Linked DNA regions of Nothobranchius furzeri. The protein of the gene in region 2 interacts with the protein of the main gene of each other region in a pairwise test. Links are inferred from orthologs where the notes say so. Each region holds a gene or a part of one and is shown on either strand. Other genes may lie near its edges. The genes, in order: tra2b and ythdc1.

Region 1 (16,078 bases), on a different chromosome or scaffold from region 2:
GAGGGGAAGGTTAAAATGCAAGAGGGTAAAGGTCACAATTCGGTCAAATGTCCGTTTTACCGCAGGCGTCAGATACCGACACTATGGCACAATGCGTCGCCTCCCGACGCTCAGGGGCTCATCACCTGCTGTCTTTTTGGAGGACTCCATCTTGTCGGTCATTATCACGTGACAGCGACTAGTCTATGAAAGTCATAAAAAGTCAGTACAGAGCAGTGAAGTTGACTAGCCAGCTAGTTAATACAACCCCTACTGGTTTCAAAAGTACGTAAATGTATAAAAAGAAAAGTGATCCAATTAAAGCAGCAATCCAGAGCCCCCTCCCCCTTTCAGGATTTATGTATGATTTCTTTTTAGAAATTTGAAAAAGTGACAGTCTTAACATCTCCTTACCAGTGAAAACAAAAGAGATCTAAACACTTTTGTCTTTTTGGGACTCTGGTAGTTTGTCCTTAAGTTGAAGTGGTAGCAGTTGGTTGTTTCTCCTTCTCTGCTATTAGAGAGTGGAGAATCTCTCACACCGGTGGTGTTCTGTTGCAAAAGACGAGAGTGTGTAATGAATGGAGGACCCAGGGAAGTTCGGCGATTCGGCAAAAACGACAACAAGATGGTCCAATAGTTACTTTAGGTCCAAAAGGTGTTATTAGCCGAGGTTTTTAGACAAATGCAAAATAACCATTTTTTTTACCTTCACAATATATTTATAGCTATACTGTTAGAACATTGTTAAGAGGCATGAAAACAAAGTTTTTAAGCTAATTTGTTTTCCAAATTTGCTATTGCTATATTAAGGTGCGAGCATTTTTTCCACCTCTGGATGGTGCCCTCTGACAAAAACCAAAAAAAGAAAAGAAAAAACACAGAATTTTGGCTTTAAAGTATAAAAGTAAAAGTAAAGTAAGTTTTTTTTAAATCCAGGGTGAAATCTTAAGCCGTGTTATAACGCTACCACACCTCTCAAAAACTTTTTTATTTTTTAAAGGCTTTATTGAATATAATGGCATATAAAAATGTTAACGTTGACAAATTTGGGCAACACTAAGCTACATGTATTAACCACATATGCTCATTGAAAATGAACACAGTTTAGTGGGATGCAAACATTAAAGACCCACATGTGGATGTTAAAAACCAAAAAGGTGTCGTAATGGTGGATGTTTACAATTATCCAACCACAGTCAAATTCACTATTAGGACTTTTTGTCCTTGTGGTTTTTTTATGACAAGCCAACATAAAATAGTTGTAGCCGTGATGTTTTTAGAATGTAAGAAGTAAAAAATACAGGTAAGTGTGTGGAAATGACACCACTGACATTCGGATACCCAGAATTTCTACTTATGGTAATAAAGTTTTTGTACCTACTTACTTGAAATATTTGATGCTATAGAATAAACACTGAACAATGATAATTAGGGGATTGTCTCCTGATGTTTTTGATCCATTTCACATACAGTACAGGCCAAAAGTTTGGACACACCTTCTCATTCAATGTGTTTTCTTTATTTTCATGACCATGACCATTTACAAAGGGGCCAACAAGTGCTAAATACCTCTGGGAACTCCTTCAAGACTGTTGGAAAAACATTTCAGGGCACTACCTCTTGAAGCTCATCGTGCCAAAATTGTGAAAAGCAGTAATCCGAGCAAAGGGTGGCTATTTTGAAGAAAATAGAATATAAAACATGTTTTCAGTTATTTCACCTTTTTTGGTTAAGTACACAACTCCACGTGTTCATTCATAGTTTTGAGGCCTTCAGTGAGAATCTACCGATGTAAATGGTCATGAAAATAAAGACAACACATTGAATTAGAAGATGTTTCCAAGGTTTTGGCCAGTACTGTACATAAAAATGATTAATGTTGTAGCTTATTAAATGGAGTCTTTCCTTCTTTCGTAGACATTGATCCCATGCACATTTTTATTTGCAGAGCTGGTTGTGTAAATGGGTGTGTTTGGGAGGGAAGCATGCTTAAGGCGGCAGCTGCAGCTGCTCACACATGGATGTTGTAGTTTTGTGCCTACAAAGGGGCGGAGCTTTGTTGACTTACATGTGACTAATTTTGTTTTCTTTTTTTCTGAGGGTTTGGAGCATTACTGCCACCCCACTGTGGTGCTGAGAGCAGCAGCAGCAGCCGGAGTGACCATTCCTTCCCGCCCTGTTTCCATCAGTTGCCAGAGGAATGTCCAAACTGGCTTATTTACAAAAAAATAAAAGCTCTTGGGTTACTTCCCTGATGGCATGCCCTTCTTACACACTTTGTGCCATCCAAGGAAGTGGGAAAAGACATCTCAAATTGTAAAAATGCTATTGATGTATGAGTTTTATTTTAAAAAGCGTATTTTTAAACAGAAATTATTCATTTATCTTATTAGCCGATTGCTTTTTTGTTTCTGTTGAGCTGGATATTCAAACTTTTGCCCAAATAGGTCAACATGTCATCAAATCAGGCATAAAAGTTTCCACTCTGAAAGGAAAACGAACAGCAAGTGGAAGGGATGTGACATTTGGAGAGAACGAGTGTAGCAACGCACACATATGTGGTAGAACATGGAAATAGGCAGTTTCCAAGGTGTGGTCCTCTACTGGTTTGTCTTCTCTCTGCTCCCACTTCAGGAATTCATCCATTTTTTTATTATAATAAAATTAGGTTTTTTTTTTCAAATCAACTGTCATTTCAAATAAATTAATATCAGCTTTTTCAGCAGGCGTGCTGTAACCTAATGTGCCTAACTCAGTTTGTTTGCAACTAGAAAATAAAGAATATTAGTTAATTACCTGAGCCAAGGACATAAACATGCATCCTAGTAAATATCATGTTTTTACCTTACATGAGAACCATGAAAAACATAACATAAATCAAACTAGAAATAAATTACATTTTAATTTTAATACTAAATAAAACAGAAATTTTTGCCCAAATTGAATGTTTAGCCTGATTTAGACAACCACACTAGTGATTATTTTCAATCATAATTCTCCCTAATTTAATTCTGCCAATTTGCAATAAAAAATGTTGATTCTAAAATTTTAAGGGAAGCATATAAACCGTTAAATAAAATAATCATTTAAGTCTGTGTCAACAATCGTGCCCTTTCATTAATTTAAATGAGTGATTTATGCAGTAGACGCAGATTTAGGACTTCTCAGAGGCTCTCGTAGACCAGCAGGGGTAGTTGTTGAACCAGTTTTATGAGCTTTGTTATAAACTGAGTCCAATAATTAAATATGGTGAAAAAACATTGAGAACATTAGAGACTCAGCTTTTTCTTTATTCCATCACTGTAAACTACAAAGCTTTACTAAATTCTTAGTTATTTTTAACTGCTCAAGGCCATAAATAAATTTTAAAAAACCAGGTCAAGGTGAAAAAAAAAACATACTCCCTCTTTATTTGTTCAAGAATGAGATGTCACTCAGTTTGTGAACCATAAATTATCACATTTAGAACTACGAATCTTTCCTTCACATTTAAAATGTACAACAATAAGAGGACTGCTTCACCACTTCCTGTGATTATGTATAAGCTGTAATCTTAATGGGATAAAGTGGTTTCTTCACCATTACTAGGCTGTATTACAGATACCGTCATTTCACACTGTTGCTATTGGCGATCGCCAACAGGCCACGTGTGAGGAGTCTTCAAAGCCAAACGACCAGAACATGGGAGTATGAGGTCCATCGGGTTCAAAAACTTAAAAAAAACATCAATTAAAACAATAAACAAGAACTGATCAACTGGAACAAATTCTGCCACATTCAACTGACTGAAGACACACGTTCCTAAGTTTAAGAAACCCAACTATCCCTTAAAGAAGAAAAAAAGTACAAAGTTAAAGATATTTCTCAGAAAAATTCCTGTTCATGGGAGGAGAGGGAATTAAAGCCGCTTGGAACAGCTCAATATCGACCTGCAAGAGAGAGAGAGAACAAGTTCATTAGAATAATCCCAACTATGATGGTTTCAATAAGAGGTGACGATTTCTGAGCACTCACGCGGGGAATATGATCGTGATCTTGACCGAGACCTGTATGTTCCTCTGTAATACGGCGATGGAGAGCGGCGTCTTTAAAAACACAAAAAAAAACTTTTAATAAGAGCCTAAAAAAAGGATCAATGTTCTAATGAAATCATCCTGACTAAAGCCGACAGACAGGGACTGTCACCTGTACGACTTGTAGTATTCTCTGTCGTCATAGCGATCGTAGCCGCCTCTGTCGTAACCACGATCATATCCACGATCATAGTCACGTGAGTTGCGCCGTGGCCCACCGGGACCGCCTCCACCACTAAAAACGGATGTGAAAGCATTAATATTTCTCTTATTTGCTGTAAATATTATGTTTGTGTTGACTTACTACGTGGGTCGTCCCATGTAGATCCCTGGGGTTGGGGTGTGAGGTCTTTTCGTGATGGAGAAATCCACCCTGATTCTGCGACCATCCAGCTCCATGCCGTTCGCACGCTCCTTCGCCTGACAGCATAAAAAGACAACACATCAATACATTTGTTGTGGTCTGCAGAATGAATGTTTTGAGTCATTTTCAGGGGAAAAAAAGCTCTGGCGCTCCTGTTTTCAGAAGTAGAAGTTAGATGGATGAGTGAGGGGCAGAAACGACTCTTAAACTGCCTCTGTTTGCTCTGCAACACTGATGTGTAATCTTCACAAATAAGATTGAAGGACTTCTGCCATGTTGTGAAGTTGCTAATGCTAACAGTTAAATTCTACTAGCAGAGATGCATTCTGCTCTCTCCTGGCTGCAAAAATCAACACAGCCTTCAATGGAATTTTTTTTAATAATAGATCTGAAAGGTATTTTTTTTCTCTTTAAATCAACAAATATTATTTTACCTCTTTAGCATCGTTTGTGTTCTCAAAGTAAACAAAGGCGAAGCCCCTGGAGCGTCTTGACTGCTGGTCGTACACGATGCTAACATCTGCCAGGGGTCCATATTTAGAGAAGACGTCCCTTAGGTCCCTCTCTGTGGTGTACAGGCTCAAGCCAAACACTCCCAGGCAACCGTTTGGATCTGGATTAGCCTGTTGCAATATTAAGATTAGGTCAATAATAGGTTTATCTGCTTATAAATTTCATGCTGAGCAGATTCAAAGAAATGTATCTAAACAATGAGGACATACACGGTTGCCAATGTGCCTGCGGCGATTGGACATAGGGGAGTGACTATGGCTTCTGCGCCGACGTTCCCCGCTGTGGGACCGACTGCGAGATCTGCGGTGATAGGACTTGGAGCGGGACCGAGAGCGGCTGTAATGTCTGCGGGAGCCACGGTGGGAATGTGATCTGCAGAGACAGAGACAATGTTTCCACCCTCACACGAGTTCAAGGCCGTTTCAGTCCAGTCCACCTGAGCGCTGCTTCGTAACTCACCCAGACCTGGACCTGGAGCGAGACCAGGATTTAGAGCGGGAGCGACTAGCCGACTTCCCAGAACCATGTGCGCTCACGCTCCTGGAAGCAGAGCGAGACTTCTGAACACACACACACACACACACACACACACACACACACACACACACACACACACACACACACACACACACACACACACACAGTTATCATCACAGATGTGATATTGAACATTTTTTTAAAAAGTCTCTAAAGAGATAGGAATTAAATATATCCTGTTAATTTGTAGAAAAAATTGATTTGTAAATATAAATGTTTAATGTTACTTTGTACAACCAAGGTTATAATAGCAACAATGATTACATTAACTTAATTACAATTCAAATAAATTTTTCAATTGTAAAATTTAATTTGTGTTGTATTCAACAAAATAAAACATGCACGCATTTGACAAGTAGACCAGAAAATTACTTAGCGCAGTGACCTTATCCAGATTACTTCCTTAACTTCATTTCTGTAACTTCATTACTTCACATTATTCTTCTTTCTTCAATTGTCTTAAATCTTCTGACTTCTCCCTTCACACACACTGCTCATAGTTCTTCCCTCCTCATGTTTTAGCATGCATTCAACAATTCAGCTTCACACATCTCAGCTTCATATTACTGAAAATAAAGTGGACATGAGACTTCTTCTGCATTTTCTTCGTCCAACCTTAACCTTAATGAAAAAGAAGATGAAGAATATATGACTACAGTTAACAGGGCACGCTCATTCAACTTTGTCATGTGTTATCAGTCATGTGTTATCAGGATCTTTTAGCACAAATAGAAAGATTACAAATGTTCAGTTTTTTTTTTTTTTTTAAGATAATTCACTTTCAGTGGTTCTACGCCCTACTGGCACATTTTGTTTAACAATTTACAACGCGTTTTTTAAAACGAGCAAGTGAAGGAGGGTGCAGGGATCTTTAAAAAATCACTGCTCAACCTGAAAAGTGAGAATTATAAACACAATTAGTTTATCAACCTGAACGTAACAAAAGCATGAGACGTGTCGCACCAGAAAAAAACACAACAATGGAGTTTTATTCATCCATAAAAAAATTATAAAAATGAATGGTTCACCGTCATTTCAAACCACTGAATGTGAATAAGCTACATTTCAGAATAAACCCACTTATTTGTCCTTTACCCTTTACAAATAATAACTGCAAGGTCAGACAAAAATGACCACAAGATGCAAACACCTCTCGTTTGTACTTTTTTCCCATCATCAGCACTCGAAAGATCTTCAGTGTGATTTTAAGAAAAAAGTTTAAAACAAACGAGGCACAAGTTATTCTTATTCCCCAAATAATATATCAAATATCCAATCAATCACAAGATGTTTGTGCAAGTCACTAAATGAGAAGTAGACAAATAAATTTGCATCATCAGAACATTTAGAAGTTACCAAATTTCAGCTTCTGATTTAAAAAATAACCATTACAGAGATTTTCAACCCCGACTATTTCTGGGTGTAAACATACAATCCTTATTTTAGCTAATTAATTTATAGAAATAGATATTTGAAGATTATCTCAATAATCTCCTTAAATATTACAATTTCCCAATAGGTTCTGAAAAACAATTAGCATTTAAAACAGCCTCTAGTCTGATCGGATCGAGTCAGTGTAGTGCCACCTTCGTCTTTGACAGGTAAATGAAAGAGGAAACATCTTGAGGCCTTTTGAGTTTCTATTTTTACATTTCTGCGCTGATAAATGCAATAACACGTTGACCGTTTCACCAAATGCAAATCACCCAAACACGAAGTTGCAGCCAAACACACAGTTAACATGAATAAAGCACTACAAATGATTAAATTATAGCCTTTCATCGATAATTTTTATGGCTTAAAAAGCCCTAGCGTCTACTTCCTTCTAGCATGTTCCATTAGCATAATTAGCATTTCAGCTAAAAATGTGTTCAAGTTGCAACAGCTACCTCTAAAAATGCTTGAATGGTTTAAAAATTAATGTATTTCTTTGCGGGTTGTGGTAGACCTTTGCCAATATCGCAACAAAAGTAATCAGAAGTTGAGGCCTAGCTACACGTTAGCCTTAGCCAGCTAGCTTAATTCACAGAAGCTAAATAATATAATTTTCATCCTACATGCTTTCTCGTAGGGAAAAAACGACCGATTTAACACTGTTATGCTTCGTGGAGTAAATAAACATGATACATTTGACCAAAAACACGAGTTAGCAAACAGAAAGAGCATTAGCCGAAAAACACAACGCGGTGCTCGGAAGAGAATCACTTTTTAATCATGAACGAATTGAAAATAATAAAAAAAAGCTAAATAAAAAAAAAGTTCACACATACCTGCTCTTTGTCACTCATTTTATTGATAGTGATTATTCTAGATGGAGGGTTACTGTTGTGTTCCATTGAGCTAGAAAAGACTGACAAACAGCCTGGAAATCAAAATGACGTCACTCAAACGCGCTCAGCCCTTCAGCGGAAACCAGTTTTCTTTTTCAAAAGTAGCGCAGAGCTACAAAATAAAACTATGTCAATGGAAAAACATCTGTAGAATTATATATATATATTTGCATTAGAGGGCTGGATTCAATTAGAAGAAAATAATCAAACAACAACACTACTACTACTACTACTAATAATAATAATAATAATAATGGGAAATACTCACAGTAAGTAATTTACCTAATACAATTAAATATGAGAATTCATCATTAAATCTAATGCTCCTCCTTTGATGTCCTCCAGTTTATGTAAAAATAAGTAAATTTAATGTGTATCAAAGCTACATGAGAAAGGCACAAATAACACACCATTAAGTCACAAAAAATGCATTTTTGTAAGAAATGAATAATTGATAGAAGCCTAATCAAACCTGTCTAAATATACATTTTGTTCACATGCATGTGTGATGATTTGGCATGTCAACGGGAAAGTACAAGATTTTCTTAAGATCTTGTGCGAAAAATAATACAGCATAATAGAATTTAATTGATTTGTTCATTTATTGCTGAAAAACACAGATGATTCATATGTAAAAGTGACCACAACTTTTTTCTGTTGCATTTTATTTATTAGGAATCAAAAAGCAAAAGCAAAAAGAGCAGACGATTGTACAAAATTATTATCTACAAAGCTTTGTCACAGGGGAGGCTGAATATTCATAGAATTCATATTTTAGTTGATATATCCAATAGTTTGATGGCAATCAATGGATTTGTACCCAAAGATGAGTGGACACAATCTAAAAGCCGACACAAACTAAAAACACAAACACACACAAAAAAAAATTCTGCCTATTAAAAATGAATTAGCCTGAATGATAATAAACTATTTTCCACATTCGGCAGGACTTTAGAGCAGAGATTTCCACAGAGATTTAGTTACTCATTAGGACCTGGAGAGAAAATCAAATAAAAAAATCTATAAGAGATCAGCGATTATGAGTATAATTAAATAATAAAGTTGTTTTGTGTCATTATACCTACCACAGTCATACAGGGTGTTAATTTTATGAAGATCCAGAGCACTTGGTCCGTCTCGCTGGCCAATTGGAATGTAAGGATCTGGTCTGGGAATGATTGTTGGTCCACCGTCTTCAGAGAAGGCGTATCTGAATCAGAGATGCATAAAATGATGCCACCGAAAAATCTCAGAAGACATATGATTATGTTGCCTGAAGCAGCTAGCCAGACCTGGCAAGCCAGACTAAATAAATGTATTATTTAGTCTGGCCACGCTCCATTGACGGCTCTCGGTTGTGGGGCGGGTTCTACCGTTGTCTTTCAAATGATCTCCGCATTCCACTGGACAATGAATGTGACATACTCTTGTTTCACTCTGTTGCATCATCCCACCCACCAGGCATATAGAGTGCCCTGATTGGCCCACAAAGCGAATAAAGCTCTGTGATTTGTTCACTAAGCAGATAGAGCACTATGATTGGCCCACCATTATGGACCAATCACAGCTCTTTATGTGTTTGAAACCCCTCTAGAGAGCTGTGATTGGCTAGCCAGAGTCCTGGTAGGAGCTGCTGAGGTTCCAATGGAGCATGCCTAGACCATTCTTTGCAAAGCAAGAATTTGGTCTAGTTCACTAGGCTATGAAGCAGCAGCTCACCGTCCATAATGCATGACAGAGCTGTAGTCGTATGGGCTGTTGAGATTGTTCGTTGCCTGTTTTCTGAAGTTATGGATATGTTCTGTTAAAACAATCAAACAAGCAAAAATATTAGTTTAATTTAGATCAAATGTACCTAAAATGAGTTCCTAAATTAGTGCAGTTGATGTATTGTTGGGAAGTTGTCCCGAATCCAAACCTGGCATGATGTTTTTCCATACAATTGTGACGTAGTGGTCTCTGTCTGAGCGGGACTGCTCGTGTACAAATCCGAGCGCGTGCATGAACTCATGAGCAGCGATCCCTGCCCACATGCACCCAGGACTCTGCAGTGACAAGACCTGACTTCCTCCAGTCTGTCCCAGAAACGACCAGCATCTTGGAACAGAGAGCATAGTGTACTATGCGAATCATCGTAAACACACAAAAAAATCAATTAACAAGGAGCGTTTCTCACCCATATCGAGGCTGGACGTCAAGGAAGTTAGCCTCATGAGTGCGAGGAACAAATTTAACGCATGATCCGGCAGAAATGTCCTGCATCCCGGTTTCTATGGTGATTCTGTCCATGTCATCTACATAAGAAAAGGGAAAACTTTGATTGGAACACCTAATGATTCCAAACCATCTTCGAAACACCTTAGAAAGCTGATACCATATAAGGGCGAGAGGATGTAGGGCACATAAACAAATCCATCAATGGATTTAGGCCACAGACAGGTGTTGTCAGGGCAGTTTATGGCACTCCGTGCATAAGAGTAGGCAATATCTCCCTCCCTGAAGGACAGTCCTCTGGGCACTCGCAGTCCTGATTTAAAAACAAAAAGTTCAGAACACACCCCAAAAGCCTCGATCGGCATCAGTTTGTGAAAACTTACTGCTGTTGACTACAAGGATTTGATCCATTGCAGTCATGTCATCAAAGTCTGGAATTTCATCTGAAGGAAAAACAAAGAAACGCTTCCTTTTCATCTTTCTGAAGACTGAATTACAATAAAAGTGTAGAATATTATAACTGGTATATGAGAGAAAACTCACCAGAGTACTTCCTCTTTGGTCTTGGCTTGCCCTCCAGAACATCAGTGGAATTCTGTCACACAAAACGAAACGTAAACACATCCAGTTTGCAGAGAAATGCGTTTAAAACACAGGTTACTCACCTTAACGGGTAGCATATCCACCTGGGCTGGAAAGCCGAACAAGACGCCCAGAAGAAGGATCAGAGATTGCATGTTTGAGTCTGAATTTGTCGTCTTCCAGTGCAGAAGCAACGTAAAAGTCGCCACCTCCACTGAATCTATATACCCACTTCTCCTCTGCAGCTTTCTACTGATTGGACCCCTCTTCTGTGATGAAGCACGGCACAAGACCTCTCATCATCCAGTGGGTGTAATTTCCTCAAGTCCACTACTGATCCGCAACAGGTGGTCCACATGCTGACCTTCATTACTCAGCACTTTCAGAAAAGAGACACTTAGAGGTGTTTTGCAGCTGGATGTGCTGCAGCTCAGCAGCTGCTATCATTGGCGCGACTGTCCACCCAGTCAGACCAGCAATTTTGAGTATGAGCGAACTGGTAACCAGTGATTTTGTGACATACTATCAGATAACAACAACAATCACTTTGTCACGTGGGTAAATATATACAAACAGGACTTTATCCCTCTCCAAATACTATTTCTATTTTGATTAAGGGGCAATTATGAAGGAAGAGCACTCAGGGAAGAGTGACGGTTATGAAATCAGTTATGTTATCACAGAAATATCTGTATTCAAAGGTTTTAAACACGTCTGCTCATTAAACAATCTGGTGTGGTTTATCAGATATAAAATAGTGACTTTAATTCATATTATTGCATCATTAGTTATCCGTTTGTTCTATTATAGAGCTTTTTAAAACATAACACATAAGCAAGCAGGGTTTGATTCATGATTTTTTATTACAGGAAGTGAGTGGAAACATAAAGATGACAAGACTAAGCTTTAATCCAGTTTCACAGGAAGTTGTTCTCCTTACTCGTTCAGCACGATTTGTTTAAACAGATAAATTGAATTAAACAAAGTTAGCGCTGATAGAAAGCTTGAATGGATCGTTGCAGGATGTCGCAGAAGTTTGTATTCTCGATTTGCTCTCAGAGGATTCATTTTCGGGTTCAGTTTGGGTCGGTTGCTAATCGTCTTTTACAGCTGCAGAGAGAGAAACAAAGAAAAGTCAAACATTTTCCACCGCGTTTTAGGCGGACTTAAGTATACGATTAGTACGGACCACACTGATACAGTCTGTTGATTTTCAGCTTGTCAACGTGGCTGAGAGAGGACGCCTGGCCGAGCTTAATGTTCCTGTTGGTCTTCGGAACGATGGTTGGTTCTCCGTCCATCGAATATGCATACCTAAGCGTGAACACGTGTTGTAAAGCATGCAAGAACAAAGTCACGGTGTGCAGAGATAAAAAAAAAACAACAATACGTACATCCCAAAGTGCATGATGGAGCTGTAGTCATAAGGAAGGTCCAGATTCTCGGTTTTGAACTTCTCAAAGTTTCTAAACCGATCTGTTAGAAAACCATCAAGAAAAGCACTTTATTTTAAATGAATTAAACATGGCTTTTAAAATAGTTTTCTATTAAAGTCGCTGCGGCAACGCAAATAGAAAACAATAGTTTTAACTTTTTCTTTTAAATGTCACTGTAGGTGTGTTTTATTTTTTATTACCTCTCCAAATGTTTGGCCACATGATGGTGATGTAGTTGTCTCGGTCAAAGCGGGACTGCTCGTGCACGAAGCCCAGGGCGTGCATAAATTCATGGGAGATCACGCCAACCTGCATGCAGTCAGGGTTCTGCAGAGACACGGTCTGTCTTCCACCACGAGAGCCAAGGTAGGACCAACACCTTGATTCACCATTGCGCAGAATATGAAATAAAAAGTTGGGAAGCACGTTTGCACACAAAACGTTTTGCTAAATTACCTTAAAAACAACAAGATGGTTGAATCACACCTTTCATCACTCACCCAGACTTTGATTGGATGTCAAGGTAGTCTCTCTGGTGAGTACGAGGAACAAAACGGATGCAGGTACCATCCTCGATGTTGTCCATCCCCTTCTTTATCAGCTTTTCCTCAATTTCAGCTGTTTTTAATTATTAATTAAAAAACGCACAGAAAACAGAATATAACTGATCAATCGCAACATTTATTTGAGCATATTAAATTACTTTACATACTGTATTCAGGGGAGAGCATGTATGCGACATAGACATGTCCATCCACTGACTTTGACCACAAGCAGCTTCGAGCAAAGCAGACTTTGGAGCGTCTTCCAGAGGAGACAGCAATGTCTCCTTCTCGGAGAGTGGTAGTGCCATCAATGATTCTGGTGGCTGAAATCAGCAGAAATTAAACCAACACAAGCTATTTGTCACTCATTCCTAACTGCAAACAAACAGGAAGAGTGTGGGCAAAACTCACCGTGGAACTCATTCGCTTGGATTATTTTATCCATCGCTGTTGCATCGCCTCGCTCTTCACGCTCTAAAAACAGCAGGGTTTGTCAGTGTGCACACGGAGCCAAAGTTGTACCCAAAAAAAAGAGCAAATGTTTTCACCTCTAAAGCCAACAGGGACCCATTTTGGACTCAGCAAATAATTCTGCAAGAAAAGCAAAAGCGAGTTTTGTTCATGCAAGAATCCTACCTGAGACCGACTCTCGCTGCGTGTTTACCTGAGCTTGCACAGCTGAGAAGCAAGTCGAAAGCACACACAGGAGGGCCATCTGCTCCATCTTCTCCAGTCAGGTTTGTCCCCTGTGTTGCCATTTGGACCTACACTAACACCCGGTTTTATAGGTGCTCCCAGTCGCTGTTCAGACATAATACCCATGATTATCTCAGCTAAATTACAGGGATGTTGTTATTTGTTTGTGAGTGACTTTAATCCTCTAATTAGTATGAGTTTTTTTTTAAAAACAACATCTCCAACGGGAGCATAATGTGAGGTCCTACTGTGTTTAATAACAGCTCAAATTCAATGAGTAGCTTTAAAATAAATGGTTTAATGTTTGGCACCAGATCGGTACAATTTGGGGATTTCTATGGCGTGTACATTTACTAAGAGTGCTGTTTTCTTTCTACTCAATCCAAGCTTACCCATGGTCCACATGCTCTGTTGTGCAGCTAATTTCAGATCATAACATGTTCTTATCCACGTTCTCTAATTCCTCAGATGCCTCATGTTTCTCTGGAAATGCATGGCTGGCCACAAACAGGATTACACTTTAGCTCTGACCAAACACCAGTTTTTTTGTTTAAACAGTGTTAGAAATTCAGAATCAGTGCAGAATTAAACAAAACAAAAAATTAGGTGATCAAAATAAAGCAGTTTAATTGGAAAATGGAGTTGTAGAACCTTAAATTAGAGTTAGATTATTATATCTGCCTACTGATATATTGGGATGATATTTACCTTTTTTTTAATGTTTCTTCACCTGTCACTATACCTCTTTGGTGAGCAGATTTAAAGTCAGGCATATCCGTGGCCAGCCCGGTACTTCTGGAGAATTTTATTTAGATGTACATTTAAATTCCTGCTTAATAAATTCTTTAAACAGCATTACATTTCTTTATAATTTCAGTTTTTTTTACTTACTATTTGGTCAACTTATTGATTTATTTTTTAATTACATTTGGTTAAATGTTTGATTTTAATACTGAGCAGAGCACGAAATTAAGATTCAGCCATTGCTGACATTCATTGTTCCAGAACTGATGAGGTGTAGAAACGATGCACATCAACTGTTGTTATTAGGGACTTTTTAGCATGCAAATAAGGTGGGAAACATCTAGATATCTGAAACTTGTAGCACATATCAGCAATATCTGTTTTGCCGTTATCTGTATCTGTACACCAGTATTGGTCCATCTCTACTTTAAATTGTTACATTTTCAATAATTAAAACCCAGTTTTAATAAACTGTATCTGTAAAGCAACAAAAAGAGCAATGTTTTATGATTTTTTATATTAGGGACGTAAGAAAATATCAATACAGCAATATATCGTGATTTTTTTTCCTGGAAAATTATATCGATATTCAAAAGCTGTGTCAAATTTTTGGAAGAATTTACATGCAAACATTTGTTTCGTTTGGTGCAATTCAAACGCCAACCATTTTAACATTAAATGTTCTATTTTCTTGAGGCCTACTTTTTACTTTCATTCCAGTACATTTAAAAAATATTATCTGTACTTATACTCCACTACATTTTCTACAAAGTTTCAAAAGTAAAAGTACTTTAATTTGCATTTTGTCCAACCCCCTGGTCAGACAGCACACTTGTATGCAAACAACGCATAATTAAATGTTAGTTGAATACTATTACTTTTTTACTTTAAAGTACATTTGAAAATGCATACTTTAAAACTTTACTTAACTCCAAATCTTGGACACTTCCACTTTTACTTAAGTACTTTTTTTTACTTCTTTATCTGTACTTTTAAGTAAAAATTTCAAGTACTTCTTCCACCACTGCAGCAAGAAGGTCACAGGTTTGAATCCTGGCTGTGGTCTTTCTGCATGGAGTTTGCATCTTCTCCCCTTACATGGATGGGTTTCCTCTGGGTTTCTTCCCAAGAGCCAAAAACAGGCATGTTAGGTAAAATCGATGACGCTAAGTTGTCCCAATGTGTGAGTGACTTAAGTAAATATCGGTAGCTGTATGTCCTGGTGGAACAGTGATGAACTGCTGACATGTCGAGTCAAAACCAAACAGGGTGAAGCTGCTTTCAGCTACTATGCTGCACACAAATGGAATCAGCTTCCTTATGACAGCAAATTTACCCAAACTTTAGTAACATTTAGATCAAAATCAAAAACTTTCATGTATTTGTCAGGCTTTGAATGAAAGTGTCGTGTGCTGCACCGTCTGCACTGTAACTGCTCACCCTTCAGCTTTGTCTTTTTTAAACTGAATTTGAACTGTGTACTTGAGTTGTGCAGTCAAGTTACTTTAATGTTCATGCTATTCTCGCTAATGGAAAGCACACTGAATTGCCTCTGTGTATGACATGTGCCATTCAAACAAAGCTGCCTTGCCACCTGTCCAGGGTGTCCGCTGCCACTTGTTACCTGCTGGGTAAAGGGACCAGTTCCCCACAACCCTGCAAAGGAAAGGAAAGCTAAATCGTCCTCTAACATGCATTTACTTATAGGTCTGAACGGTATTAATAATTTTGTTTTCCATTCCGTTTGTGAGTGCATTTAAAAGGCTCAGAGAAGACAAAAATAAATATTAAAGTTATTTAAAATATTTCACTTTTTTAAACCAGAGTTATGAATATTGATACAAAAAATTCTCCATAGCATTGCAAGAAAAACGGAAAAATTTTGACGCCCGAACAGGGACTTGAACCCTGGACCCTCAGATTAAAAGTCTGATGCTCTACCGACTGAGCTATCCGGGCTCTGACAGACGAAGCGGAAGTAACCGTCATAAACCAAAAAATGTTAGCGCGTGCAGCGTATGTCTGCACGTTAGATCCAACATGACCACTTCTTTCGAAAAAC
Region 2 (16,045 bases):
AGCGATGACATCAGATCAGGCATCGCAGACATTCACAAGTCAGGTTAAGAACAGTCACTTCCCTCTCACTCAAGGCTCTGCCAGACCACACCTACATGCCGCCAAGCACTCTGGGAAACTCATGTCGACTCAAACATGAAGCGGTTAAGAAAGCACGGCGCTGGAGCATTTTATTTACGGTAGTGAACAGAATGAGCCCCACACCGCCGTGCGTAGCCTGGCAGAACGTTGACACCAGCAACAGATTCAATTCAACTTTATTTAAAAAGCTCTACATCACAACCAGTCGTCTCAAGGCACTTCACACAGTAAACAGTACTGGTCAGGTCATTAAGCCAATCAGTAAAGTTTCCTATATAAGGAACCCAGTAGGTTGCATCGAGTCACTGACTAACTTCAGAGTCTTTACAGCAATCCTCATACTAAGCAAGCATGCAGCGACAGTGGAGAGGAAAACTCCCGTTTAACAGGAAGAAACCTCCAGAGGATCCTGGCGCAGTATAATGGGCCATTCTCATCTGTACCGGGTCGGCCCGGGCCGGGTAGCCCCAGTTGGCCCCAGCCTGGCCCGGTTGATTCCACACATCCTTGCCTTAAGCCCATGTGGGCTGATTCTACCCACCAATCAGAGGCTTGCTCTAATGGAAGGTGTGAATTTGCTGTCAGCAGTGGGTGTGTTGGCCCTGGTCGGCCTGAAGCAGACCCCCTCGAGAAGAGGACTGAGAATGAGCCTCGGTTGGCCCGGAAAAATACCAGGCCACCCAGATATGTAAACAACCTATGCTACCCGGCACGGGCCGACCCGGTACAGATGGAAATGGCCCATAAGCAGCCATCCACCACGACTATTATTTTTAATAAAAGTTTATTTTTTGGTCTCATAAAATTATTTCTTTCAGTCCAAATGTTGCGTAAATGTAAATTTGATTACATGCCTGTAATGCATAGCGTCATTTCAACATGGGGGTGTCCGCGACACGGTTTATATGCAGGTAGCGGCACTGCGGCTGCTTTATATAGCGACTCGTTGCATTCTCCCTCAACCCAAATCCTTGGATCACGCATTTTAGCTAAAACGCTAACTTGCCTTGCGTTGACTGTAGAGTTGTGGGTGATGGTCACGCAGATGTGTCATGAGATTTGAAGCGTTGCTGCCTTTCACAGACACTTTTCCTGCACTGCTGCAAACAGGATAGCCGTCTTCTATCAACTGCCCCTCGGCATTCTTCAAATATCCAAAAAATGCCCGTACTTCCCACTTTGTCTTCTTTGAGGGATAATAAATGTCCTGAACGCTGCCGTCTCCTCCTTTGGCCATTATTTCAGCTTTAGCTTCAAGAAAGTTTTGGTCGTAAACAACAAAGTGTGCATGTGCCGCCGGCAACTTCAGCAGATGATACGGTGGCTGATAAGGGTCATAGCCACGGTAAACCCACCGAGATAATATATCTTTTAAAAAACAAGACGGTTATTATTTTTGTCAACTTTTTTACCGGGGTTTACCGCTACACTGGTTACCATGACAACCCTGGTTGGTGGTGGTTACAGATGTCCATGGTGCAAATGGCAACCATGCATCCGTCAGGCTGCCCCAGGGTGGCTGTGGCCATGTAGCATCTTACCCTAACCAGCAGCCTTCCAAAGTGCAATATAAATTCAATTCAATTCAATTCAATTTTATTTATATAGCGCCAAATCACGACAAGAGTCGACAAGAGTCGTCTCAAGGCACTTCACATAACATTCCAATTCACAGTTCATTAAGCCAATCAGAAATAATGTTTCCTATATAAGGAACCCAGCAAATTGCATCAAGACACCCATCATTGTTGGTCTCAGTAGTAATCACCTTTCCACTCTGATTTCTAAGTGTGGTTTTCTGGCACAACCACAGTAAACACAAGAGAAGTGTTGTTGGATAAAAGCTACTGTCAGACACAACCAACCAAAGTGCCACAAGTATGAGTACGAGTACCTTTCTTGTCGCTGATGTCTCGCTCTGTCTCGGGGTTGTAGAGCTCGTCATCATGATCTGGAGCTTCAGTCAGCAAATCCTCAAGAACATTGAGTTCTCCATCTGAAAGAGCGGGACACCCATGAACAACAACTTCAATGATTACCAACGGCCAAGCCTAACATAGCAGCCACGAAGACCCGGCCAATGGAAAAATATTCATGTCACAATTTTGTTTTTGCAAACTCAAAATCCCAATTTTAGCGCATCTTTTCTATTTTGACAATTCAGACATTTTAGTTATTTAGCAGTAAAATACATAAATTATGAAGCATCTATTTATCTCTCCAATCACAGTGGAGAGCGAGAGAGACGTGTCCCAGATGTCCCACAGGCAGGTAGAGGTATTCAACTTCTACCAATTTCCGCAGTTCACATTAAGCGAGACAGGAAACCACACAGTTTCTGTGTAAAATCCCCGGTTATTTTCAAAATAAAATGCAACGTTGCGATGTTATTTATAACTTACGTCAGTACGTGTGACCGAACGGCTTTGGTTAACACCAGTTTCTTTCGGGAAGTGCAACGGTGTGATTCCTCGCGGGGGTTGAGATCTCTCGATGAGGAAGGTGTCGGAAGTCTCGAGGGATTTTAGAATCTTGCGGGTACAGCGAGGCACAGCGAGGAAGCTGTGCGGCGGCCAAGACTCTCCCGGTGTGAAAAGGACCGCTTTGAAGTTCGCGAGTGAGCCGCTCTGCTGCTGTTCCGTTCCGCTGATGCTTGCAGTGTGAAACCGGGGTTACTGCTCTCCGTAGCTGTGCCCTGACTATGCAGCGGAGGGGTTTGGCATTAACAAAGCTGTGGTCGGCAGCCACGGGGTAAGGCTCGCTAAAACACACACAAACGTCCCCACAAAGCCAAACGCAAAAGTTCAGAGCAGAACGTTTCACCTGGAGGTTCCCCGATCGAGCAGACGTGTGAGAATACATGCAACAACCACTAGGATAGAGCAAGCTAGTGGCTAATGCTAGCAACTACAATCACGCTATGTACTAAACTACAGAAGGCAGTTACAACACAGGGAACCCGCCTCAAGGCTCTCAGTCTGGTTTTAAATGCAGGGTTTCCCCCAGCGCTTTAAAAGCGGACACAAACGATGCAACAAAACTAGAGCCTTCCATCAGCTGATACTGGTGAGAAACAGCAGCAGAACTGTACAACCACCCCACCCCCGCTCTCACAATGGAGCGCTGAGGGATGGAGCGCGCGTGGAGGAGCGCCAGGCTTAACTCAGGCCTAGTCCACACGTAGCTGGGGTTTTTTGAAAACGAATATCCGCCCCTCCAAAAACTTGCATCCACATCCCCGCGTTTTAAAAACAAACTCTGTCCACACGTACCCGGATAAAGACGTTGTTAAGGACATGCCAGACCTGTAGGCGGCAGCACTTCCCCCGTTCTTATCCTCGTCCTTCGTCTGTGGTCTTCCGCAAGGAGCAGTAATTCCGCTTGCAAAAACAAACAAGCAGAAAGCGCTTGGACAATTGATGGATCGGGTAGTGACAGAGCGCAGCTCTGAAGGCTTCCATGCTGTCGGCTAGTGTAAACACAGGTCGCACACGTGATGTCAGCATTTTTTGTCGTGGAAAGTGACGTTGCGGACCTTAAAACTCCGGTTTTGTCTGTCCACACGCAGACACCCAAAACGGAGAAAACGCAGATCTTCACTTTGGCCGGAGTTTTTAAAAAGATCCGTTTTCGTGTGGATGACAGACCAAAACGTAGACAAATATCTACGTTTTGGCAGATCCCCGGCTACGTGTGGACAGGGCCTCAGTTTCTGGGGGAAACCCTGAAGATGGAAAAAATATCAGTGTTAATATCGGCCCAGTTTTATTTATCAGACCGACACCGATATGCTAAAAATGACTATTATCGGCCGATACCAATATAAGGTGCATCCCTTAAAAAAAAAAACTGGTGAAACTGGAGCGGTCCAGGGAGTAGAGCTTGACCTTGTACAAGAGTACTTCGGGATCACCCTGGATTCGACACCATCTTTTAAACAACACATAGTCATAGCGAACACATCAGATCCAATGTACATAACTTTAAACCATAGAGCATTGCATTACAACCTGGACACACACCCTTAAAACCAACAGAAATGTTATTCAAAAAGTCTGTAATAATTCTTGATGAAAAATCTTTTGACCTGTGTACTATTCTGGAAAAATACAATATGCTTAATCTACAAAGGTCTGCATGGACTCGCCCCACCTCCACCAAACTAAGAACTGAATGGTTTTGGTACCAGAGCCTCCTCTGGTAGAGACCTGGAGATTCCCTACAGAAAACAACCTTCGGACAAAACGGCTCTGGCAGTCAGAGGGACTCACTTTCGGAACAACGTACCACGGAATAGTAGAGACTGTCCCACTTACAGGATTTTCAAAAAGCACTCAAACTTTCCCAGTCATGCACACACCCCACTAATCTTTATTGTTGAATTTGTTTGTCTGTAATGAGATTGTTGTTTTAGAATTGTATGTTGTCAGCAAATTCAATGTTGGCTTTCCTGCCTACAGTGCCTAGGGACTACAGATGGAAATTAGCAACTGTGCTATAATCTGGCTCACTTACAGTCTGTACAGAAGTACTTGATTGTTCATTAATGTGCAATGTCCCGAATACATTAAAGAGAAAATAGAGCTCACTGGTATTTCGGATATTTTACGTTTTTGTCCGTTAAAAATTTGATGGAGAAATCTCTGTGTTGGTCATTCTGACAGACTGGAATTACCCCGACGCATGCAGGTGAGCAGACATCATAAACGTTACCCAGAGAACATCAGGAGGTAACAAGATCTATCAAGAGAAGCTTTCCATCAGAACATCTGAGCACCATCTCAAACCCGGACACCACGATCAGCAGCTCGGTGTCGCAGAACCAGCAGGTAAAGCGTTGCTACTTCAGGTGAAATGATTTAAAAGTGACATAAATATGATGCTGGGCACGCTGGTCAGCTTGTTTGGATTAAATATTAATGAATTTTTATTTAATGAGAAATGAAAATAACGGGAGGAAACGATCACGACCGTTTATGGAAACAAACATGTAGCTAACCTCTGATGTGGGTGTTTCTGTAGCTGCTTGTGACTTATTAATAATAACGTGTTTAATTAAGGCTCATCCAGACATGAAACCTGGAGCAGCTCCTGTGTTTGTGGAGTCTGGACGGCTACTTTTTACTGTTACTAGATGACAAGTATGTTGAAGTAGTACTACGCTTACTCGGGTATGTATTTTCAGCAGTAATGAAGTCTGAGCTCGTTTGTTTCCTTTGAGGTTGTAGAGACCTACTTGGCTGATTGTAGACAGTTTCTGCAGATACTGATCTCTATCCTCTTTTAACAACTTGCTACCAGGCCACAGCGGGCAAACATTACATTAGGTTGTTTTGTCTTTGTATGAAATGTCCCAAATCAAGCAGGAAATAAAACTTTAACCACCAAAAACCACAGAAACAGCTTTGATATGATGCCGGTGTTAGGCCGATATGTGTTCCTCCCTCGAGATCTGTTTCTTTTGCACCCAACTGCAAATGGAAATGACCCCATCACAAGAAATAACCCTAACCATAACCACCCCGGCACCAAAAATGTATGTTTTGCATAAATATAATTTTTAAAATATTATGTGTAGCACATTTTTTATGTTTGTTTCAGGGTTATTTCTTGTGGTTGGGTCGTTTCCACTTGCAGCTGGGTGCAAAAGAAACCGATCTCGAGGGGGGAACACATATCGACGTAACACCGGTTGAACGTAACACCGGGGACACACCGGCCGCCGAAGCGCCGCGAAACGGGGACCTCCTTCATTCGGCGCCCTTGTTAACCTATTCAATAGGTCACATGGGCCGTGCCGTGCAGCGATCGTTTCGGTGTCTGCTCTATTTTTTCGCGAGCCGCGGATGAACCGCGTCAATTCTGGCAGGAAGTCAAACCAAAACAGAAGAGGCAGGCTGGCAAATTTAACAAAATACAATTCCATGATAGTCAAATGTTCGTAAACCACACACACACACCGAACTTGTGCGTGTGACCACGTGAAGGGGGTGTGGTTTTGGGAGTCTTTCAACCGGAGCAAACAGGACAGAAGCAGAAAGTCGTAGGCCGGCTATTAACAACTGGTTCACACCATAGGATCCCACACACAAACAGCAAGGGGGGGGGGGGGGGGGGGGGTAGAGGAAAAGAGCAGAGAAAAGGCAGAGTGGAAATGGAGGACACCAAGTGGTTAAAAGGAAAAACTATGAGGCGCGCGCGCCTCGACCGGAGAAACAAGCGTTTGGTCTGAACTGAGGAGCAGCGGCCAAATTTCGTGAGCGCTTCAGCGGCCGGTGTGTTCCCGGCCTAAAAGTCAGCTAAACATGACTTTCTCCGCTGATGGAGATGTGGACCGGCAGGGGCGTGTTCAGGGAGTGGCCTGGGGTAGCACATGCCACCCTTGGAATCTGACTGGCCACCCCAAATACCACCACACTAATTTACCTTTAAATAGGCTTTTCATTGTCCACAAAAGGCTTGGGGGTAAAACTAAAAAAGCATAACCATTGGTGCCACCCATGCACAAAGTTGTGCCTCACATGGGCCACCCCATTTTAAAAGATCTGGACACGCCACTGTGGACCGGGAATCCGGACTCAAAGACCCGTTCAGGACCAGAGTCTCCACTGGCCCCTGTTAGGTACATTTACTGCCCTGTAACCTGCAGTCAGCTGTAAGTTATGTTGGATAAAAACGTAACCTAAATAAAGATAAACAAGAATCAGAACACGGACTTGTGCAGCGTGGTCCAGTTGGCGCATGCGCAATGGGACTGTGCATATCTGCGTTTTTCGCCATTTAAGAGCCTACAGAACAGTTGGTTTTCAGGGAGTTAAACGGTTGGCGTACTGACTCCTGCAGTGGAATGAAACCATGAAACCAACATTCATGCTGACTCTGAAGAGCAACAAGACGCTAGCTTACGCTAACAGCTAACCCACCTTTGTCCTCGCGCCGCTCGGCCGCCATCACTGAGATGTGCTGTTGCTTCACGCGCACGTAATGCTAAAGAACAAACTTACAATTATAATATGCTAATATTTCAAATAAACTGTTATCTTTAAGTACTCTTACAAGGACTTGAAGGAGCCAAATGGCGGACTGCGTCTGTTGTCTGAGCGTGTTCTTCTTCTTGTTTAGTCAGTAACGTTGTGGCGTATTAGCGCCACCGACTGGACCGGAGGGGAGTTACAGAAAGCGAGTTTAATTCAATTCAAGTTTATTTATAAAGCGCGAAATCTCGACCAGAGTCGTCTCAAGGACCTTCACACAGTAAACATTCCAATACAGGTCAGTTTATTAAGCCAGCCAGTAAAAAGTTTCTTATATAAGGAACCCAGCAGGTTGCATCGAGTCACTGACTAGTGTCAGAGTCTTTGCAGCAATCCTCATACTAAGCAAGCATGCAGCGACAGTGGAGAGGAAAACTCAATTTTAACAGGAAGAAACCTCGAGAGGATCCTGGCTCAGTATAAGCAGCCATCCACCATGACTCCCTGGGGATGGAGAAGACAACACACACACACACACACCAAGTCATGTTTCTATGGTTACATTGTGATTTCTTAGTAAATATTCTATTTGGTGAGATAAACTTTATTGTATTTATCCTAGTGAATCTATAATTAAATGGGTAAACTAGTAGTAGCACATTCAATGTCAAAGAAAGTAAAATGTTATTATCAGGAGAGGGAGAATGTTTAAGTGGTTTGCAGCAGTGTGCTAGACGATGGCTCCCTCCATGAGGCCACCACAGCTCAGCAGAACATCATTGTAGCTTCTTCTGGGGAGAAAAACACTTAGAGAAAAAATAAAGGTAACAGCTGAAATAGCAGAAAATAATACAGTTAAAGAGCAGATTGTAGAAGAAAGTAGTAGATTGTGGAAAGTGGTCAGTGTGTCCTCCAGCAGTCTAAACCCAAGGCCGGATTATAATATGGGCAAACTGGGCACAGGCCCTGGGGCCCACAGCAAAAAGGGGGCCCACGTGAGCAGCAGTCTTTTTTTTTGTGCAGCAGTTTTAACGTTGAAGAAAAAAGTTGACAAGTAATTAAAATTGCGCCCACATTTTCAAAGTTAAACACGTCTCTCAACAACGGTAGTTTCTGCATATTTACTGTTCCCCTGCTTCAGCCCTCTCCCCCCTCCCCCTGCTTCAGCCCTCTCCCCCTCCCCCTGAGCAGCGGCCACAAACTCACTGATGCTCCTGACAGAAACTGGTTCACCCGAAAGACAAAACTCCTAAACACAAACTGAACAATGTGGTGTATGCTGTACAGTGCAGTGAGGAATGCCCAGACCTCTACGTCGGAGAAACCAAACAGCCACTTCACAAGCGCATGGCACAACATAGTGCGTTTACATGCAGCCAGTAACCCTTTTAAAACCCGGATATTCGCAATAACCCGGTTCGGCACGGCCATGTAAACACCGTCAAAAACCCGGATATGCTCATAACCGGGTTTTTAAAAACCCGGTTACTACACCTGGGGTAACCCTTTTCTAACCCGAAAGTTTGGTCGTGTAAACGCATATCGGGATATCCCCATCAAAGCGTGTGTTCTGCGCATGCTCTGTTCGCAAGGAATCTTGGTCTTTTGAGTAGCGACACATCTTGTATGCGCCAGAACACCGGAAGTAAACAAGTTGGGAGCAACATGGCGAGTCGCAGCCGGCACAGCACCACACTTTTGGAGTGACGAGGAAACCTCTCTCTTCATCGGTCTGGTTCATCTTGAAGGAGAGGATGATGATGTTATGGATGAAAACACAGGTAAGTCACATGACTTTCTCAATCCAATACGTATACCAACAAAGGGTTTCGCTCTCGGAGGTAGATACATGCGTCGACCCATCTGTGTTTAACCTATCATTAACATCTTTTTTAACATCAAGCTGTAACATTTTGCTTGTTTTTATGTCTGGCCAGATGCAGATATTGGAGAAGGTGGACCTTCAATGACTGTGCCTTGCCAGTCTACACAGCCATCAAATCCCACTGCAGCTACTCCTGGTGAGCTTTCTAAATACTGTTACTAAAGGCATAACTGGTTGTAGCGTATTGTAACCCCAGGTCACTCCTCCTCCTTGTGTAATGTCTGAAAATAGTACTTTTCTTTAGTGGATAATTTGATTACAGTGATTATGACATATTATGTAATATAACCGTTGACCCAAACTAAGGACTATTGTCACTTTTGCATTCTTAGTAAACTCAGAATTGTAGGAAGATATTTGTTTATGACGAAGGAGCAGGTGACATTCTGACACGTCAGCTAAAGGTAAAGAAACATCTTCTAGAATCCACAAGTTTCATAAGAATGCAAAAAGTGATAATAGTCGAACACTAAGAGAGAACTTACCCAACACTTTCTAAGGCCTGTCATGTCTGCTCTAGGTGGGTCAAGTCGCAGGTCCAGGCACCGTGGAGCTGCTTCACTTACTCAACATCAACAGTTCATGGAGAGAATGCAGCACACGCAGAACCAATGGTTTGAGCAGCAAAGGCAGTTGAGACATGCCAGTGATGAGGCACTCATGTCTCAAATGATTTCTGAATCAACCTCACATTTAAAAAGCAAAACCAAAATGTTATTTTGTTATGTGCTTTATTAAAGAACAGATGTTTTATTAAACTTACTAGAAAACTTGTATGTGTTGACATTTTATTTGAACATTGCATATACCTGTTCTTTTTCAGAGGTGCACAGCAACAAAGGAGAAGGCAGATAAACATCTTTTAAAACTTAGAAAATAAAGCGTTTTGAAAAGTATCGAGCTTACAGTTTAAAGTTGTTTGTTTCCTATCAGAGCCGTTCGTCCTGCACACTCACGCTCTTACCAAGCGCTTACGGAGTGGGACACGTGCAGCAAGGTAATCAGGGCCCGTCTGATAGCTGAGGCTGCACTGTTATCAGCCCTATTGACCTGTGACACAGGCTGTGGAAACAGCCTTTCTACTGATGTGGCCTCCTCTGCCTATCTGGGATTAACATGCTCCTTCTCCATCTCACAAAAGTTGTGTAGAGCACAACAGGTTGCTACCACGTATGGTGTGAAAGTAAAATGGAAGTCACTGCGCTTCAACAGAACACGGAAACGAGATTTCAGTCGACCAAATGCTATCTCTATACTTGTTCTAGCAGAACTCAAATAGACGTTGAAGCTTTCCTCTTGTGGTGTCAGTCTTGGGGACTGCAGATAGCCCTTCATTAGCCAGGGCATCAGTGGGTACGCAGGAACTCCAAGCAGGAAGAAATCCACATCCTGCCCCTCGATCTGCACTGCTCTCTAAAGTGGGACAGATAGAAATATTATTCTTCCTAAATTATGTCATAATGCATCTTAGATATGTGGCAGGTGTGCAACTTGCATTTAAATACCAAAAGTTTTAATGCATTACCCACCTTTGGGAAGGATTGTGCATTGTTGAACAGATTGGACTGGCGGAGTGCATTGGCGTCATGTGCTGAACCAGGCATTTTGCAGTTCACACTCCAAAAACTATGGAAAATGTATCACAGTGAATCAAGATGTAGTGGGAGCGGTGTGATTAGTGGCAAAAAGTTAGGAAAATTATTTCAGGTCAGTAATGACATAATTATTTGTACATATAAGCTGTTGATGTTTTTTTGAACAGAGAACCTCTCAATTGATGTTTGTGAGTGGTTCTAATATAGCTTAGTGATGTGTGTCTGTCAACATTATATACAAATCATAATCATGAATACAAAAGCTGGGAATGGCAAAACACCTACCAGTATTTGTCATCACAGACTCCCTGGAGGACATAGGATGGCCATCCCTTCCTGTTTATGAAGTCTCTGTAGCCATCACTTGGAGGCAAGCAAGGGATGTGGCTCCCATCCACACAACCTATGATAAAAAGTTAAAAAAAAAAAAAAAACGAAAAAATATGCACACAGCAGTGTAGCCTACATACATAGTATAGTTCACATTTAGCCTACTCTCAGAAAACTATTGACATTAACAAGACATAAGAGCAGGAAATATTTTACCTATGATTTGAGGAATGGAGTGGGCACGTTCAAATCTTTGTGCAATGCCACATGCCTCCTCCAAAGTGGGTACCCGGATCAGTGTTTTGATGACTTGAGTCGACCATTCCGTTGCAGAATAGGTACACCATCTTCCTCACGGTGCTCTTGTGCACTCCAAATTGGTTTGCTATCAAACGACACTCTGCACAGCTTGCTAGTTTATACAGCACCATGGCAACGCCCATTTCTGTAGGCACTGGTGTGCGGATGGTTACTACACTGGGCTCCATCACTCTTTCCATCATACCACAAAGTTTAGCAAAAGATTGACGTGACATACGGAAATTCTCACGCCATTCCGTGTCCGTGAACTCCATCATTACAACCAGTTCCCACCAGTCCTGGCTGCGCACCTTCATCCAAAGTGTCCGCGGGGCTCTGGTGGTAACGGGTACCGTCGATATGTTGGATATGTTTAGCGCAGCTCTCTCTATATTTGCAATTTCTTCCTCACGTACTCTCCTTCGAATGAAGGCCAGTACGCACAGTCGTTGTAAGAGCTGCCGGTGGGTCAATACCAGCAATAAAGCGCAAACAAACGCGCCCGCTATCTCTGCCGAACTGGGAAACATGTTGTTGTTTTCACGGATACCGGAACAAGATGACCTGGAAATGACGCGTCTTGACGTCGTCCATACGTCCTGACGCTACCCCAAAGTCCGCATTGAAAACGGGTTATGCAAATTAGGGTTGCCTCTTGCTTGTAAACGGGTTATCCCGATCAACTCAGAAACCCGAAAACCGACCTTAACCCGATCATAACCCGGATATTGGCTGCATGTAAACGTAGTCATTGAAGAGCCACCTCCACGGGACAGGACTCAGCAGTTCATTTGCATCTAAAGGACAAAGGTCACTCTTTCGAGGATGCCAACTTTCACATTTTGGACAGAGAGGACAGATGGTTTGAAAGAGGAGTAAAGGAAGCCATTTATGTCCACTGTGAGCAACCATCTTTGAACAGAGGCGGTGGTTTACGACACCGACTGTCTGCCATCTATAATCCAGTTTTGAGATCCCTTCCCAGATGCCTCAATGCCCACGCATATCCTGGGCCATCTGACCTCAGGAATTCACATGATAGGGTGGGGCCAGGCTTCACAATGAGCTCACCCGAAACTCTGGCTGAATAGGACCCACACCCACCCTCACACCTTGGCTCATGTGTTTATGTAGAAGATCATCAGGGGGTCTTTTGTTCCCTCTTCGGGGGGAAACTCCCACTGGGTTTAAATCTGGGACTCTCCACCATTTGACCTTAGAACTGAAGAAGCCTCTCGGATGAGAGGTGAAACGTCTTCAAGAAGTCCAGACGCTTTTCTTTCAAAGCTCATTAGACTACAATGACCTGGATGACTAAGAACCTTCACAGACGACTTATTTGTTACCATTTCTTTATGAATTATGTAAACTTATAGTTTGTTTTCTTTTCATAACTTTGTATTTAGTTTAGGATTTCAGGTTAACTCTTAAATTGGGTCTAGTCCTTTTGTTAATTAGGTAGATGAGTGTCGTCCCCCCCCCCCCCCCCTTGTGTCAACTTTTCAGCTCCCTTTCTTTGTTGTCTGTCAGGTCAGTTTGTTTGTTTAAGCTGCTAGCCAGAGATGTTGTTATGTTAAAGCACCTTTATGGTTTTTCATTTGACCTCTTTTAAAGGGCCCATGTGTAAAGTAAACTTGTTTTTTGAATTTCTGGGTAAATAAATCCCGTTCTTTCTTTGAAACGACCAGTGTGTCCTCCTGCCTGACCGTCTCGGACCCTCACACTGGGTGACACAGTAATAAACAAATCCCCCAAAACAGCCAAATAAAAGAACCAAACCAGCAGATTCTTTATATTTTCCTATTTTACTGTTTTTCAGTCTTTTTAAACGGCATGCTTGATTTTGCTCCTTTCCGTTCTGACTCCATATTGTTCCACAAACCAACACCGTACAAAGAACCACATCTCTCCAACGCGTTGGTTCTGGATCTTGGTTTTATTAATATCTCACATCCTTTTAAATATAACCACTTTGTCTTTTTTCTAATTTTGTTTGGATATTTCTTGGTAAACACTCATACGAGCTTTATATATCAACCTTAGAATGCTGTAATCAACCAGATCATTACGGTTTAATATTTGTAACTTGGCTAATAAAGGACTAGTTGGAGCTCTATAACTACTTTGACTAATGATACTTATTGCTCTTTTTTGTAAAATCCAAACTGGATTATTGTATGTTGTACATGTAGTCCCCAGATTTCAATGCAATACGTTTTATATGGAACAGACTATTATATAATAGACATAACGCATTACTATTCAAAGGCTCCTTTACTTTGTGTAATATAGCAATCCCTGTTGCCATTTTTGATTTTATACCATTAATATGTGGCTCCCAGCAAATACGTTCATCATTAATGACCCCTAAAAACGTTATTTCCTTCACTCTATCAATGGTAACGCCTTCTATAGCCAGTGAAATATCCATATTTATTCATCTTTGACTAAATACCATAAAATTAGTTTTTTCAAGATTTAGGGATAGTTTGTTTACATGAAACCACTGTTTCAGTTTTCCTAGTTCGATTTGAGTCACTTCTCTCATAGGCTCTATATTACCACTCACATAGAAAAATGTGTCATCTGCAAATAAAATACATTTCAACAATTTACATACTTTTGTAATATTAATAAACAAATTAAAAAGTTTTCTAACCTAGAACAGACCCTTGAGGTACCCCACATGTAATGTTACATTTATCTGATTTTACATCATTTATCTGAACATTTTGTAGTCCAGTCTTTAAATAACTTGTGATCCAGTGAAGTGCTACTCCTCTGATGACATACGTTTGCTAAGAAGGTTATGATCTATGGTATCAAAAGCTTTCTTGTGATCAATAAAAATAATAACAGCGTACTTTTTCTATTTCAGTGGAAATTTCTTCAATTAGTTCCATTAATGCCATTGATGTTGAGTGATTTGCCCTGAAACCATACTGGCTACCGCTCAAAATATTCTGTCTATCAAAGAATTTATCCAACCTGGCAACAAATAATTTTTCTAGTATTTTTGAGAATTGTGAGAGCAAAGATACCGGTGTGTAACTAAACAACATGTGTTTGTTTCCATTTTTATAAAGTAGGATTGCTGTGGCTGTTTTCATGTGTTCAGGAAATGTTCCTGTAGAAAATCATGAATTACATATGTAAGTAACAGGGCCAATAACATAATCTATTTTTCTTCACTAGTGTCATATCCATATTAACACAATCAGCAGAACTTTTACTTGCTACATGTACAATATTTATTATTTCATTTTTAACCCATCTTATTTAAAAATATACTGTTTAAATTGTCAATTATGTTATCACCTGCATTATCACTTGTGTCCAGAATATTCCTTACCAGACTTGGACCCACGTTTGCAAAGTATGTATTGAACTCATTCACTATTTGTTTTGTATCATATATGTTTGAAATGTCTTTAACAAAGTAATTTGGCATAAGTTGATGTTCCTTTATCTTTTTTTTTCAACACCATTTATTATCCCCCATGTAGCCTTTATGTTATTGCTATTTCTATTCAATAATTCATTATAGTATTCTTTTATATGTCTTTTAATTATAGATATTATTCTATTTTTATGTATTTTATACCTATTTCCCACTTATCTTGTTCTTAATTTTAGAAAACTTCAATACAAATCATTTCTCTTCTTGGAGGCATTTTGTAATCCTCCAGTCATCCATGGTTTACTGAAAGCATCTTTTTTTGGCCAGTCTCCTAAGTTGTGCCCAGCTTCCACCACTGATCCTGACCACCTTCTATAGAGGAACTATTGAGAGCATCCTGAGCAGCTGTATCACTGCCTGGTTTGGGAACTGTGCAATATCTGACCGCAAAACCCTATAGCGGATAGTGGGAACAGCAGAGAAGATCATCGGAGTCTCTCTCCCCTCAATTAACGACATCTACACCACACGCTGCATCCGCAAAGCCACCAGCATTGTGGCTGATTGGTCACACCCCTTCCACACACTCTTCACACTCCTGCCATCTGGAAGAAGGTACCGAAGCATTCGGGCACACACATCCAGACTGTGCAACAGCTTCTTTCCACAAGCCATTCGTCTCCTCAACAAAAAGGGACTGGACTGATAAACATGCGCATGCACACACACTCACACACACACACACACACACACACACACACACGCACGCACACATACACGCACACACACTCTATCACTAAGCTCAACTACCTCAAAGCATGGAGGCTGGACTTAAATATTAACCAGTTAATGCTTTACTTTTGCATGTTTACTGTTCCTTCACCACCTACATACTAAGTATGTTTACGGTTTTCCTTTGTACTACCTACTTGGAGAGGTCGTGTCATATTAGGTCAGTCTGTTCTGTCCTTAATTAGATAGTTTAGTGATTTCCCTGTTATTTTATGTTGTAAATTTATGTTGCATGTAGCACCTTGGTCCTGGAGGAACGTTGTTTCGCCTCACTGTGTACAAACCGTATATGGCTGAAGTGACAATAAAGTCCAATTGATTGATTGATTGATTGATTGATTGATTGAAGTTTACAATTTTTCTCGTACAAGTTGCATTACAAACTCATGAAGGTATCATATGCTTTGTTCAAATCTTTTACATAAACCTCTTCCCAACTTTGTTGTTGTGGGTCTCTCTTTAGTGCATCCAAGGCCTTTTGTGATCTGTCCCTTACAAGTTTTTCTGGTATCACCCGTGTTCTATTACAGTGAAACTGTTTATAGACTGTAAACACTGGTAAATGGTCACTTACATCAGTCATCAGGCTCCCACTTCCATTCAATCCCTCTGCTACATCAGTGAAAATGTTATCTATTGCTGTTGCACTCAGTGCAGTGATTCTTGTTGGTTTAGTTATCAAAGGAAT

The links.
Region 1: the proteins of ythdc1 (region 2) and tra2b interact in binary tests that used the Homo sapiens proteins (3 or more experiments, as listed by UniProt). The link is inferred for Nothobranchius furzeri from reciprocal best matches to the Homo sapiens genes YTHDC1 and TRA2B.

What each region holds. Positions count from the first base shown.
Region 1 is NC_091754.1:18,117,626-18,133,703, forward strand, and holds tra2b (transformer-2 protein homolog beta), read right to left. Parts: upstream 7,878-16,078; 5' UTR 7,806-7,877; coding exon 7,740-7,805; intron 5,493-7,739; coding exon 5,392-5,492; intron 5,305-5,391; coding exon 5,142-5,304; intron 5,043-5,141; coding exon 4,854-5,042; intron 4,476-4,853; coding exon 4,360-4,475; intron 4,291-4,359; coding exon 4,168-4,290; intron 4,068-4,167; coding exon 3,997-4,067; intron 3,912-3,996; coding exon 3,901-3,911; 3' UTR 3,367-3,900; downstream 1-3,366. Other genes in the region: hce2l2 (hatching enzyme 1.2), read right to left, coding at 11,689-11,705, 11,785-11,909, 11,990-12,071, 12,232-12,410, 12,532-12,649, 12,744-12,899, 12,988-13,050, 13,125-13,167 and 1 more; uncharacterized protein, read left to right, coding at 16,057-16,078. UniProt on the Homo sapiens protein: Sequence-specific RNA-binding protein which participates in the control of pre-mRNA splicing. Can either activate or suppress exon inclusion. Acts additively with RBMX to promote exon 7 inclusion of the survival motor neuron SMN2.
Region 2 is NC_091746.1:69,731,640-69,747,684, reverse strand, and holds the start of ythdc1 (YTH domain-containing protein 1), read right to left. Parts: upstream 7,225-16,045; 5' UTR 7,138-7,224; intron 7,069-7,137; 5' UTR 7,033-7,068; coding exon 7,005-7,032; intron 2,078-7,004; coding exon 1,976-2,077; intron 1-1,975. Other genes in the region: uncharacterized protein, read right to left, coding at 10,042-10,353, 10,470-10,566, 10,821-10,938, 11,155-11,482. UniProt on the Homo sapiens protein: Regulator of alternative splicing that specifically recognizes and binds N6-methyladenosine (m6A)-containing RNAs.